2 linked regions of the Astyanax mexicanus genome follow. The protein of the gene in region 1 interacts with the protein of each later gene in a pairwise test. Links are inferred from orthologs where the notes say so. Each region holds a gene or a part of one and is shown in the gene's direction. Other genes may lie near its edges. The genes, in order: chn1 and hemk1.

Region 1 (8,104 bases):
TATAATCAAGAGGACGATTAATGATCACAACCATCAAACCAAGCAGAACTTCTTGAATTGTGCACCAGAAAGGGCATAAAGTTGTCCAAAAGCAGTGTGTAAGACTGGTGGAGGAGAACATGCCAAGATGCATGAAAAATGATTAAAAACAGAGTTATTCCACCAAATATTGATTTCTGAACTCTTAAAACTTTTTGAACTTGTTTTCTTTGCATTATTTGAGGTCTGAAAAAGCCTTTTGTTATTTCACTTTCTGCTAAACAATGCTCTAAATTACAATATTTTTATTAGAAATTTGGGAAATATTGCCCGTAGTTTATAGAATAAAACAACAATGTTGATTGTACTCAACCATATACCTATAAATAGCAAAATCAGAGAAACTTATTCAGAAACTGAATTAGTCTCTTAATTAGAGTTATTTTTTTATGTATCGTACAGTCGAAAAAGGAAAGAATTACATCCACAATCCCTAAGAGATTTGAACTCTTTGAACTTTCAGATAACTATTTCCAAAGTTTTAGTCCTTAATCAGCTTGCTAGGGCAGTGGTTTGTTCACAAGCATTATTAGGAATGACTGTGATGCAAATTTCAAATTATCAGCCATGGGCTCCTCTCAGCAGCTGCCAAGCTCTATAAAAATAAAATATAGGACAGTGGCTGTACAGGAGAGCAATGTGTTTTTTTCAGTTGCTGTTCATTATATAATTAAGAAATGTCTATTGCGTGGAGGTCAAATTAAGGTTTTGAAGAAAAAAAAACATGTGGTTTAATGCAGTAGAATGGAGGCAAGTATGGATTACACTGAAAAAGTATGGTAAGCTGTTTTAAGAAAAAAAGTTAATCTGTCTAAAAGCAGACCTGTGGCTACTGTAAAAGTTCTGTAATATTCTAATTTAATTTCTGTTAAACCTTAACTATTTGTATTCAGTCTGTAAGGGTTCATATCTATTAACACTGAAAAAAAGCCCCCTGGCTGCAGAAAGTATGAGATCCCCTGGTGTAGTGTATCATTGGTCTGCTCTGTTATTTGAGGACTTTGTGTATCCTGGTGTGTTTGGGTGTGTGTCTGTTCTGGTCTATTGTGTAAAATGAAAACAGTAAAAAGATTCTATTACCGTATATTGGATTACAAACTGAGCCATAACCTTCTCATTAAAGTTGAACAAGATACTATTGTACAGTTAAATGTATACATGCAGTTGTGTGTCCAAGAAATCACATCATATGTATTTAAAGGAAGGCTTTCACTGGCCTCTCGCAGTGTATTGTTAAACAGGGGAAATGAGTGTTCAACAACAAAGTGTTGTAGCGAGACGCACGTCTCCGTGCCCTGAACGCACACTTACTGTTGGGCTGCTATTGTCTTGGCTTCCTGTTAGTGTGGACACTTACTTAAGCTTCTGTCAACGCAGGACTGCCATCTGGAGAAAACAAAACAGAGGGTGGAAGAGCGGGAGATATTCGGGGTTTAATTGAATGGATAATCCAAAATATGAAGATATTTGTTGCTATAATTGAGTATTTGAATGAGTAAATGCATGTGTAGATACTGCAAATACTGACTTATACAGACTTTCTCTTATTATTATTATTATTATGTTGTAGGTCATTGTGTTAAGTAACATGGCACAGTGTGGCACAATGTCATAGGTTGGAATGCGTTGGAAATAATGTGTGAATGTGTGTTATGTAATACAGGACAGAGTTTCGATTGTATTGCCAAGTGTATTAGGTAATGGTACTGTGTGTTATGTAATATGACACAGTGTGTTGGATGAGAATATGGGACATACATAGCTTACCTCACATAGCCTACCTTAAAGGTCTCATTCCATCATTTTTTTATTCATTTTAAAATGTCTAGTGTGAATAAATGCCATGTGAAGAAAGTGCTCCAGTGAAATGTTAGTATAATGCTAACATAACATTATCTCAACATTAGCACAATGTTAGCGTAATGTTAGCGCCGCGTTAGCATAAAGTAACGAGTAATAAATGAGTTTAATGTCCAGCACTGGCTGGTAATGCCGTGCAACAGTGTGATGCAATCAGATTATTGATCATGATTAAAATGTGTGATTATTAACATAATTACATTAAACACTCCTCATCCACTGTGATTTTCTAATATGTTCTAATATGTTAAATGCAGATTTCAAACCGCGCTTCCCTAGTGTATATTTAAGGTCTGGGTAAAATGCAGAATCCACTGGAGATCCAATGTAAACCTATAGTTACTTACACAAGATAGCTAACGTTAACTAGCTGGTTTAAAGAAAGCTATAAGCTCTTTAGCTGACGAGACAATGTCAGCTCTGCTGCACCCCAGCTTCAGCTCTGCCTGTAGTTGAGGCCATGAATACTATTTCCAGGGTTGACGTAGACCCATGTGCTTTTCCTGATCGACTTGTATTCTGATTTTTTTCTTTTACTAGCTACTGCAGACAAAGAAGGTTGAGGAACAGTTTCACATGCAGCATGTATATACAACTCAGAGAGACCTATTTCATTTTACAAAGAACAAGAAAAGGTGGATTTTAGCAGGAGACCTTTAACTATTCTTTTTTTTCTTTGTTCTGCTGACAATACTTTTTCAACTTTAAGGTATTTGTATCACATTCTTGCCTGATATCCCACAATTGCAGAATTTAATTTCTTAAAATGTCTTTTTTTTTTTTAATTACTAGAAGAAAAGTCCAAAAATGTAATGTGTTGGATAATTAGTACTGCAAAACAAAAGATACTCTATCTCATTTCAGAGGGTTTTGATGGAGAACAATTCCAGTGCTCCACAGCCCAGTGCTGGGTGATTTGTTCCCCTTTAGCAACACTTGGCACTGGGCATTGGTCAAAACCTGGCACTGGACCTTAGGCCTGTGTGCAGCTGCTCCAGAGTGTCCCATGCTATTGGCTATGCTTTTCTATAGAGAATATACAAAACGGTGTGTGGACAAATTATGCTTTTGTTTATAATCTAAATTTGCTAATTTAGAAGATTTGTCTGGATTTGCACATGGCAGAAACAGATTCTACTGATAGCTGGTTTCAGATGGTCTAAGCTTGTCTATTCAAGGTGGTTGAAACACTGATCATTAAGATGATGGCATATCTGTATGTTGATAAATCAGCTGCTACCTCTTGACCAGCTTCGCATATGTTTTCCTTTAAGTTTAATAAACTAGCTGTCTGTCAGCATCATCAATTTGACCAAGCTGGGAATACTTGAGGACCAGAGGTCAAGTGGGCCATGCATGCTGGGCACACTGGTCATGCTGATACTGGTTTAATAGGCTAGCTGCTCTGGTGTTAGGTTGTTTAATGACGTATTTAATGGCCAAGGTGGTTGAAAAGCTGGTCATCCAAGTGAAAATATACTTTATGTTGGTTAATCTAGTTGTTTAACCAACTCTTCACCAGTTGTGTGTATTATGCATTCGACTTCGGTCATGCTTAAATCTCGACCAGCATGGTCTTGCTGGTTCACCAGCTTGGTGGTGCTGGTTCACCAGCTTAGTCTTGCTTGATGAAAAGCGTGGTCATGCTAGGCAAACATCATGGTCAAGCTTGGTCATAGTGGTTGTTTAGTGAGCTTGTTCAGGTTGATCATTCTTTTTGTTGACCAGCGAATCCATCAAATTCAGTAATGAATTTATAAACTGATAAGCTGGCCCTACTTTTTTTCATTAGGTTAGTTTGGTCAAGCAGGATGGCAGTGCTGGTAGATCAATTGAAAGACCATCAAACTTAAACTTGCCCTAAGCTACTCGTGAGATAGCAGACTTGTCAGACAGCTTGAGCTGACCATGCTATTTTTAGCAGGTTTGTTTAGTTTAGCCATCAAACTAAGAAATACTGTAGATTTATCAAGAACTACATTCCCAACCAGCTTGAGGGTTTTCTTTACGCAGCCACTAAGGTGACATCATGTAAAAATAAAAAAAAATGCGTGGCCGCAACTTATTAGGTGTGAGAATGAGATCCTAAGGCTGGGCCATGACTTATTAAGGCATTGAAATGAGATCATTAAGTCGTAGCCAGAGAATAATAAAGTTTGCTTTTATGTTAATGAATGCCCATGAAGAAGACTGAATATTAAATCAAACCTCCAACCCAAGGATAATCTTTAGTAAGAAAATGGAGAGTGAACTGGTTTCTTTTTATTTTTATCTTGGAATGAATTATGGCAATATTTTGGAGTCTCTTGCAGTGAGACATGGTATAATAAGAAAAACACACTTAATTTGCATACTAAAAGCTCACAGGCTCAGAGGCAGACAGTATGCAGAATCCAAAAGTATAGGATCTCATTCCCATGCCTTAATTACCTTGTTCCCACGCCTTAATTATCTTGTTCCCATGCCTTAATTATCTCGTTCCCACGTATTAGAATCTCATTCCCACGCCTTTATTATCTTGCTTCTATGCCTTAATTATCTCGTTCCAGTGCCTTAATTATCTTGTTCCCACGCCTTAATTATTCTGTTCCCATAGCTCAATTATCCCATTCCCATGCATTAGGATCTCACTGCCACACCTTAATTATATTGTTTCCATGCATTAGGATCTTATTCCCAATGCCTTAATTATCTTGTTCCTACACATTAATTATCTTGTTCCCATGCATTAGGATATCATTCCCATGCCCTAAGTATCTCGTTCCCATGCATTAGGATTTCATTCCCATGCTGTAATTATCTCGTCCTGTTTCTTAATTATCTTGTTTCCACACATTAGGATCTTGTTCTCATGCTTAAGTATCTCGTCCCATGCATTAGGATCTCTTCCTATGCCTTAAGTATCTTGTTCCCATGTCTTAATTATCTTGTTCCCACGCCTTAATAAATCGTGGCCACACATTCTTTTTGTTTATTTATTTTTGGTTTATTTTTTACATGAGGTCCCTTAGGGGCTCCGTAGTTATCCAACTTTGCCCCATCACCATAGTTAGTTAGTTAGCTAGCATCGTTTCCGTGCGTGCGCGCCGCCGTGTCCATGGTAACGCGCCATGAAGAGGCTGCAGTCCCCGAGGAGAAGCGGAGCTCGCGGTCATGTGCTCTCACAAGATGGCGACTTCAGTGCTGGGATACAGAGTGAGTCCGGGCTGCAGCAGCTTCACATCGCTAGCTAGCTAACCCTGTCTGAAAATAACGCCGTCGAACCGCCGTGCCGTCTGCTGATAGCGCTCTGCTGGGAGCGGCTGGGGCGGTTAGCTAGGTTAGCTAGCTGGCTAATTCTCCGCCGCTGTGAGATCATATGCAGCCTGGCTGAGACTGATGTGGCTGGATCTGCTGAATTCAGTGGGGTTCAAACTTTAGCTTTGTGCAGCCTGGAGATACAGACGGAGGGTCTGAATGAGCCAGCAAACGATTAAACTCAACATTTAGCGAGTTATTTAACTGGCTAGAGAAGAGAGCTCGCGCTGAAATAATCCACATTTTTTATGTGTTCGTTTGTTTCCATTCAGGCAGTTTGCTGATGTGATTTTTCTCCTCCTACATGGACAAGCGCTCATTCTGAATGAGTGAACACAGCGAATACAGCTTTGTCCATCGGAATTACAGCACGAGCATGGCCATCCATGTGTTTGGTAAGTTGCACAATGTTATTTTTTTTATTTATGTTGTTGTGTGTTGATGTTGTGCAGAGCAGTAAAAAGGGAGCATGTTTTGCTGGAGAGACTAGCAGAGAGACAGACCCTCAGGGTGTGTAACTAATGTAGCTTTAGCTTCAAGGGGGAATCAACAATGGAGAGTGTGTCCATGGGGGTGTTTCTGTTGGAGTGTGAATATGCAACCAACAGGTTAGCTAGCCTAGCTAACCTTGCTATCTGTCCTACTCGCTTACACTAGACCATACAAGCTAACTAGTTACTTGTTTTTCTTTCCACCTTAAATAGTACTGTAGTTCCCATTCTGGCTCATGAAAGGTAGCTAACTAGCTAGTTACTGATGCACCATTTAAGGTGGAACCTAGCTAAATTTCACATAATAAGTCGACGTGTGCCGCACACTAACGTTTTTAGATTACTCAGATGAAAAATATGTATTAATACAGCTCTGGAAAAAATAAGAGACCACTTAAAAACGATTAGTTTCTTTGTTTTACCAAATTGAAAATCTGGAATATAATTAAGAGAAAGATGAATGATCACAAGCCATCAAACAAAGCTGAACTGCTTGAATTTTTGCACCAAGAGTGGCATAAAGTTATCCAAAAGCAGTGTGACTGGTAGAGGAAAACATGCCAATATACATGACATCTGTGATTAAAAACCAGGGTTATTACACCAAATATGATTTCTGAACTGAATATAAAAACTTTATGAATATGAACTAGTTTTATTTGCATTATTTGAGGTCTGAAAGCTTGCCATCTTTTTGTTATTTCAACCATTTCTCATTTTCTGTTCTAAATGGCAATTTGAGAGACATGTCCGTAGTTTATAGAATAAAACAACAATGCTGATTTTACTAAAAAATCTACCTATAAATAGCAAAATTAGAGAAACTGATTTAGAAACTGAAGTGGTCTCTTTAATTTTTTTTCCAGAGCTGTATATTGCCAGCTAGTAGACCAGCTAAATTAAAACTGATTGACCAGCATGGCAAAGCATGACAAAAATAAAATGAAACACACTTTTATGTTGGTCAAGATCTGTTTTTTTAGCAAAATAGAAGAGATTTTAATCTGGATGACCACCAGCTCTTAAATTATCCGCTCATAGTGGCAAAATGTTGAGATTACAACTACTACTACAACATTACTATTCTGTATATGTAGCACGTAAATCTAGCACTTAAAACATCTGAAAGATCGGAAGGAAGAAAGTGTGTCTCATTTCATTCTTCCCTTTAGGCACTTCCACTCAGCTTGAGTTGTTTTGTTCATTCAGGTTTTGAAGTGGCAGCAGGGAAAGGGGGGGGGGGACAATTGATGTTCTCAAGCTAGCTGTGGTCACTTCAGATGCTAACAGCTAGCAGAGTAGATATCAGGTATTTCTGTACATATTAGTTACACTTGAGTGGCATTAAGGCTTAGTGTGCTGTTGCTTTAAATCCTAAACTGGATCTGGAATCAAGTAGAGCTTTAGGGTGTGAATGCCTCAGCCACTTGTTGGCAAAATGATTAGTCATGGGGAGGAAGTCTTCTTCCCTGGAGCTCTTATCTGTGGGATGGGGGAGCAGCCATTTTCTATCAATAATTAATGCTGAATCATAGGAGGAGCACATTTGGCAGAAGGGCAGGGAAGCTGCTAGGAGTGGAAGATAAGCTAGTCATGAGCCTAATTTGGCATGCAGCGCCAACATTTCCACAATTGGATTAAGTCCACAGTGTGTTCATTCTTGTAATTCATAGTTTATTACTTGTGGTTGGTTATATGCTTGGTTGTAAGATGAGCAATATCTTGTTGTTTCAGATGTCAAATCATTAAAATAGCTTTGCTTTTGTTGTGAACTTCTGTTTTGTGGGTGATGTCATACACCACATCTTCTGATAAATTAACTAAAATCATTTTTTGCTAAATGTGGCTCAGATATTATTTTTTAAGGCTATGTGAATAAGCCAAATACGATATTTTTTCAAATCAGATCTGAGCCACTTTTATATGTGCTCCTAAATCGAATATGTATCCAATCCATGGACATGTGTCATGAATGTGAACGGTCATGTCTTTTTGCTTCGGTCATGTGCCACGTGCTTCTCTCTCGTACCCACACATATCTTGATACAGCTGCGCGGCTATAGCTGCAAAAACAGCAAAAGCAAGCCACCTTGTCTTTTTTCAGCTCCTCGACCTGACCATGTACTTCAGACGAGTTGTTTGCTCTCAACTCAAGCAAAAGATGCTCCACATATGAGCTGCTAACGTGTCCATTTTCCTTTATAAAGTGACGAGTCGACTCTCAAATATGACGTTTTTTGTTGTTGGTGAAGAAGGTGACGTTTATGCACGTATCAATGTGCGCATGTGAGGCGCTTCAGGGACAGATTTGTTCATTTTACACACAGATACAGATCACTTACATTTGTGAATGTGAACCGTCAAGATAGCTAAATCTGATCTGAGCAAAAATTCAGATTTGATCAATGTGACTTGTA
Region 2 (7,216 bases), on another chromosome or scaffold:
AAAAAATAACCATTGCATCTAATCATTATAATAAGATTGTAATAACACAATAGAAATTGCATTAAATTTCCTTCTAATGTTCAACTTTTCCTTTTTTTTCTTTTTAAGCACTGTACACTGGCATTTCCTTCAGGAAATGCATATCCAGTTATCTATCATTGTCTCCTCAGACTTCACATTTTAGCCTTTCATTGCAAATTAGCTGAATTTCCCTTCTACTCCATCATACACAGCATAATCAGTACTGAGAGAGCGCTGTGTGATCTTGTGAAAGTGTTCCTTCTTCTTGTTGTTTCTTTTCAGCAGTAAATTGCTGGTTTGGAAAATTCTGTGTAGTAGTGTGCTCCTGGCCAGCATACCAGCGCCAGTTCTCTTCGCCTCGAGAGCCTCGGCTAGTTTCTGTGACTGTAATTACAAACACACTGTGAGCTATTAAACGCAGGCAAGCCTCTGGGAGAAATGCATCTCAAATAAACTCTACGCTTCGTACATGCCTGTGTGCTTTTCTTCTTCTGCTTTCTTTTCCTTTCTTCTCTATTTTCCCCTCTCTCTCTCTTCCTTCCTTCCTTTTATGCTTCCTTTTCTACTTTCTCTTCTGCATGGTCTTCTACTTTGCACTTCTTCAGGTCTTTCCAAAACTTTCTTTCTCTTCTTCTAGCTGACTGGTTTCGAGATGTGTTTCAGGGTAAACACAGAACTTATAGGAGGAATCATGGTGACTTTTTCAGAGCCCCAGACTGAACTCTGCAGCCCCTGCAGAACACAACAACAATCAGTACCATCTGGCCTACAGAGCATTTTCTCTCACAGCACATGATCAGCACAGGCCTGCCAGCCAATCTGCTTCTTTTCCTATTTTTCCTTCATAGACACAGTGGAGCAACCAGGCACTATTTTCAGAGATAAAATAAGTGACTTTTTGAAGTAAATGATAGAAATTATAAATATAAAAAAGATAGTTGTGATTAAGATAAGCCTGCATTTAGCCAAATATGTTCAAACAGTGTGTATAATTTGTGGTTTTTGCTGCTTTAAGGTGCCCATGTACAAATTGTACACAAACACCTTGGAGAATTTGCCAATAGCCAATATAATGGGACACTCGAGAACAATCAAACTTAAGCCTAAAGTTGCCATACCCCCTGTGTCTAATGCCAATACAGGGCTGTAGAAGTGTAACTATGCTCTGAATTAGCTGCATTGGGATGAGTTTGTGTGGCATTTGTGAACTAGAACTAATCATCAAAGGGGATATTGTATGCCCCCTATATAAGGTGTCAGGAATCATATGCTTCTTTGAGCCATTTGGAAATGTGCATAGAATCACCCTGGCACCACCTGTCAACCCCCAACCAGAGCCACCATCTATAAATCCGTTGAAGAAGAAATGCCAATTTGATCATTTTGGTTGAGAACCTCAGAAAGTACACAGTAGGATTAGCCAGCAGACTTCATCTGACTGAGGGATCTGTGGCAAGTCAAAGTGGGTCCATGGGGCGTGGCCAGCAACAGCTTATTTACATGAAAGTGACAGAGCCCTTAAACAAACGGCTCATTCTAAAAGGGACTGAAACTGGCAAGTATAGAGCTTGTGACATATTCTTATGTGAGAGTGATTTTGTGTGTTTTATAGCTCATATACATATTTTAACTTGTGTAAAAACAGGTATGCCCGCTTTAAATTCAGTAATAATCTTAATATAATACTATGTAGCTGGTGTCCCAAAACTAAAAAAAAAGGTGCCACCAAAAAAAGTTTACACACTCTAATATTTCATTTGACCACCTTTAGCTTTGATTGCTGCACACATTCACTGTGCCGTTGTTTCAAGAAGCTTCTGCAATGTCACAAAATTTATTTCAACCCAGTGTTGCATTACTTTTTCACCAAGATCTTGCAGCAGCATTGATGATGGTAGAGTCAGACCACTGCGCAAAGTCTTCTCCATCCAGCACATCCCAAAGATTCTCAATGAGGTTAAGGTCTGGACTCTGTGGTGAACAATCCATGTGTGAAAATGATGATCTCATGCTCCCTGAATCACTCTTTCACAATTCCAGCCCCATGAATCCTGGCATTGTCATCTTGGAATATACCTGTGCCAACAGGGAGGAAAAAATCTCTTGGTGGAATAATCTGGTCTATATTCAGTATATTCAGGTAGTCAGCTGACCTCATTCTTTCAGCACATACTGTTGCTAAACCTAGACCTGACCAACTGCAGCATCAACACCACATCATTTACTTACTTAAAAACAGGTGGTGACTTTTTTTTTGGCCAGACAGTGTACTAATAAAACCTTATTAAAAGAAAGGAAGGACAGAATTAGCTAGGTGTCTATAAACTCTTTAGTGCCTTGTTCTTAAAGTTGGACATTTCATTTGTACGTGCATTTAAAAACGAATCTATCTGGTCTTAACTAAACGGGGCTGAAATGTCATGGCATTTAGTTTACCAGTCAGGCTACCAGTTGGTCCTCACTGTTCCGCTCCCCACACCTGCTCTTTTAAGCCTTTTTTAAGTAAAGGGTAACTGTGGCTGATGGGGTCATATGACCTTTTATTAAGCCACATCTTTTCATTTCTCTTGATTTCACTTCAGTTCACACATATTCACACGCGCTAAAGGCTCAGCAGATAACTTTCTACACGCTTGAAAAATGTTGACATTTCTGTGACAAAAGAGATAGAAAAAAAGAGATGTATGATATGGGAAGCCTGCCCCCTAATGTTCAGTATCGCTGTTGCTAATGGCAAGTATGGTACATAGAGAGAAACATAGTGAGAGAATCTCTAATAAAGAGATTACAAACTTGAGAATCTCTTTTGGGTTTGATTGAGTCCATATGAATAAATTAGTTCATATGGAGCAACTGAGCAAAATCATACTGAAAGATGTATTCATTCACAAAACATCAATATAATTTTTAAAGCCTCTAAACTCCACTTACCAGCATCAGCTCACCAACCAATGAGATCACAGTAGCAGTAATACTAGCGCCTTGCTGCCTAAAACCTGTTTACTGTTGGAAATGTGTATATAAGTGTATTTAATATATGAGTATGTTTTCTGAGTATGAGTATGAGCTTTTTTTAAAGCAACAATCATCATTTTAATTTCAAAATTTCAAGGAATATACCGACCATATAGATTACAATTAATTATTTTTTATTTAGGTTTAGCTCAGAGACTGTAAAAAAAGATATACATATGTACAGCTATATACAGTCTATGGTTTAGCTCCATTCACCCCCCATTTATTGGACTCACTCGCGGGCTCCCTCTAGCGGTTGACTGTAAATTTCTGATATAACGGCAGTTCTAATAGATAGGCTTTATAAAAACCGGCTCTGGTTTGGGTTCTACTTGTTTCAAACAAAATGTAATAAAAAATAATTATTTTAATACAGTTCTTTCAATTATAATGACATTTTTGTAAGGCATTTAATGCAGTGGATAAAACCTTCAGTGCATTACAACGCTGTATCAACATAAAAACAAAAGATGATTACAGAAAAAAGCAACTTGCTAAAGAAATTATATAAAAAAAATTTAAGTCATTGAGTAATAAGAAACGGGTATGCTCTTTATAAATCAGCTTTGTTTCAAAGAAATGACTTTCATATCTAACGTTTTTAATTCGAGAAACATTCCAGTACACTGTTGTTTCCAGTATTAAATATATATATATTGTATAATACACTAACTACTTCTAACCTCATTTCCTTCTTCCCCTCCTTCACTCCTCTATCCTATTATTCCCATTTGACCTCCTTTTATCCCTATCCAAAGATGTTTTACCTTTAAACTTATTTTACATTGTACTTGACTATTGTAAGTCACTTTGGACAAAAGCGTCTGCCAAATGTAATGTAATGTAATGTAATTCTGGGGATACTCTTATTTTGACATGCGGCTGTATTTTGCCGTTTCCGCGTGTCACCAAACAGCGTGGAGTACTAGCGTTAAGTGTGTGCTGGTGCTGGTGTGTGTGTGTGTGTGTGTGTGTGTGTGTGCATACCATTAACAGGTTCTAAGTAATAACAGTTATGGTCCAGTTATGTTTGTGTTAAGCGGCTTTTCTTCATGCCGATTCATTTAGACCGGTTGGGAAATGTACTGCAGTATAAAACGCGTTATTCAGCGCCTCAAACCGAGCGGTTTATTCCAGCAGCAGCAGCAGGTTAGTAAACAGCAATTCTAAATCCAGTGCAGTCAAATGAGCTGCTTTATATACTTTTCTATACGTTGCCCTACTATACAGGCCAGGATTTTTTTCAGTTGTGTGCCTGACATTACATTACTATATCTTGAGGATTTTTATTCAAGCATTACATAAACAGCTTTCATGTTTGATAAGGAACATTACGAAAAAGTATCATTAATATTGTAATAGAAAATATATATAAAAAAAAATTAAATAAAACAGCAACTGTAAAAGTATAATAAATAAACTGTACTGAACTTCACTTTAAAATCAATATTTTTCTGAATACAAATCAAACAGTTCATGTCCTCCAAACCTTTAGTTTTGTTATGTTTGTCTAGTTTGTTATGTCTATTTCAAAACCTGCAGAATTTAGGCTAACTCCTGCTAAGTTACTGATCTAGAATTGTTAAATGGAGTAGAGAGTGAACAGGCAGCTTCTCCAAGTGACCTGTAGGAGATTTCAAAGCCATTTCATTTTCAGATTGTAAATAAGTTATTTTACTGCAGAAAAAAGGGTTTTGTATCACCTACACCTGTAGCTTGTATACGGGACAATGCATTTTAAAGGGTTAAAGGCTTTGTTGAGGTTTTATAGCACATCCATGCTGTATTCACTCATCACTGCTTGACAAAATTTAAATTTAAAATGGAAACTTTATAGAGAGGGTAAAAACCTATTCAAATTTAGTAAAGTTTAGTGTAAAACAGACATTTATATAATTTTAATGATCCGTTCATCAGGAAATGTTGAATCAATATTAAGAACAACAGCAGATTTCAAACTATGTTGAAAGTGAAAAAATTCACAAAAAAGAGATTCAGTTTTTTCTTTCTTTTTGCAATACATCAAATAGATGCTTGGATTTTTTAAATATATAGTTCATATTTAATTGACTCTGTACCATGCCTTACCTGCCTTCTTTAACAGATTTATGATTTTGTAACTAAACTGAACAGTGCGAATAAAATAAAAGTTGTAATTGTTATGTTATTATTACAACATCTCTGAAGTGTCTGTTTTTTTTCCAGGCTTTGGTCCGTGTGCCCTGCAGAGCTGTAGGTGGCGCTGTAGGCCCACCTATAGATGGCAGTGTGACAGTAGAGCAGGCAGTCAGTCTGTGGGCTCAACACTTCCAGCAGCAGGACATTTCTGAACCACTTCTGTCCAGCAGTTACATCATAGCTCACATACTTGGGCAGAAAACAGTGAGTTTCTTACCCTGCCTTGTGTCTGTCTGTCTGTCTGTCTATCTGTTTACAGTTTGCCTGACATTCTAAATATTCTAATGATCATTGTTTTATTTTTATGTTTAGTGTTCTGGGGTACAGAGCTAAAATTTACATGCTATGAATACATGCCATGAATACATGCCATTATCTGATGGCCTGATTGTGAGGGGGTTGGATGATCTAATAGCCAAATGATCCAATTATTTGCTATATCTGTTGCTCTCCTGAATATATCAGGGGATCTGCTTTGCACTCTGTCTTTGTTATACTCAAAATAACAGCCACAGAATGTCACACATGGCCCATTATTTACATCACCTTATCCACAAATACTGGTCTGTTTAAATAATTTTACCTCCTGTATTGGACACCATTCTGAAATGAAGCCATGAAGACCGATTTTATTGGTTAAAAGTTTGTTTGTCAGACTGGAACGCTGTCTGAGACAAATAAATCAGTCTGTGTATTTTAAATCACTTTCAGCTTTTCTTCATGAGTCACTTTCCTGTTTTTATTTGTCTTGGTGGCTGCTTGCCTTATAATCGAGTGATTTACTGCTGAGTAATTTGGGTAAATTAGAGTGTTTGCGGGGACAAGAGAAAGTGTTTCATTGTTTTTTCCTTCTATATTTATCCAGTGAAAGGACATTTTTGCTCATACTTCTGTCAACAAACACATCAAACCAGTCCAGCACAATTATTCCAGGGAACTTCTAGGAATCAAATTATGCCTCACCACATGCCCACTGTCATGTTTTCCTAATTGTAAACACATCTCTCTCTCTCTCTCTCGCTCTCTTTCTCTCTCTCTCTCTCTCTCTCACTCAGTTGGAGTGTATAGAGAGGAGTAGGCTCGGGGACAGATTGACTGAACAGCAGAGAGAGATGGTGTGGGAACTGTGTTCAAAACGCCTCACAAGGTACTGGCTCTAAAGTCTGTAGATATTGTGATGTTAACATGCAGTGCAGCAGACCTAGGTTAAGCCACCTGAGGCAGCTGATCAATCTATGTTACACATATTGGTGAGTGTGAGTGAGAGAGAGTAAGAGAGAGACCAACACAAACTGTGCTGTAAAAGATGAGATGAGTTTCTGTGTCTGACTTTATGTCTACAAGGTGGAGCAGTTAGGTAGAAATGTCTAATAGAGTGGAAGACAGTGTGTGAACACAGTGTTTGCAAACTTCAATAATAACTGCTCAATGGTGGTCTAGTGGGGTCCTGACCATTAAATAACAGGGTAAGAGGAGGATAATAAAGTATACGGAGATAAAGAAGAATCACTGTCGGTGATTTTAGCAATATAATGTTCTTCTATGTGCCCAGTGGAGCTGATGAGATGGACAGTAAGTATAGGAACAAGTAGCAATATGGTGACTGGTTACTGTGCTCCCAGTTTTTTATGAACAGTGAGTTAAAATCACTAATAAAAAAAACTGTACAAAACGTATTTAATATGGGACTTTGAGTTGTTTAGAGAGTATGTGTTGTGTGTTTCAGGATGCCAGTTCAGTATGTGATAGAAGAGTGGGATTTTAGGGACCTCACTCTGAAGATGAAACCTCCAGTGTTCATCCCCCGCCCTGAAACAGAGGTCCTACATCACTCACTCTAAGTCTATTCCTCATTCTGCCTCTCTCTCTCTCTCTCTCTCTCTCTCTCTCTCTCTCACACTCACACACACCTGATGAAATCATGGAATGTGACTCCCTAAATCATAAAGAATAAGTGTAATTTTTAAATGTACAGATATTGTTAAGTGTGGTGTGTTTGCAT

Evidence for each region.
Region 2: the proteins of chn1 (region 1) and hemk1 interact in binary tests that used the Homo sapiens proteins (3 or more experiments, as listed by UniProt). The two-hybrid records come from large-scale screens. The link is inferred for Astyanax mexicanus from reciprocal best matches to the Homo sapiens genes CHN1 and HEMK1.

The regions. Positions count from the first base shown.
Region 1 is NC_064418.1:31,644,456-31,652,559, reverse strand, and holds the start of chn1 (N-chimaerin), read left to right. Parts: upstream 1-4,993; 5' UTR 4,994-5,094; intron 5,095-5,468; 5' UTR 5,469-5,521; coding exon 5,522-5,591; intron 5,592-8,104. UniProt on the Homo sapiens protein: GTPase-activating protein for p21-rac and a phorbol ester receptor. Involved in the assembly of neuronal locomotor circuits as a direct effector of EPHA4 in axon guidance.
Region 2 is NC_064412.1:15,821,882-15,829,097, forward strand, and holds the start of hemk1 (MTRF1L release factor glutamine methyltransferase), read left to right. Parts: upstream 1-3,958; 5' UTR 3,959-4,116; coding exon 4,117-4,185; intron 4,186-5,241; coding exon 5,242-5,418; intron 5,419-6,269; coding exon 6,270-6,361; intron 6,362-6,940; coding exon 6,941-7,034; intron 7,035-7,216. UniProt on the Homo sapiens protein: N5-glutamine methyltransferase responsible for the methylation of the glutamine residue in the universally conserved GGQ motif of the mitochondrial translation release factors MTRF1, MTRF1L, MRPL58/ICT1 and MTRFR.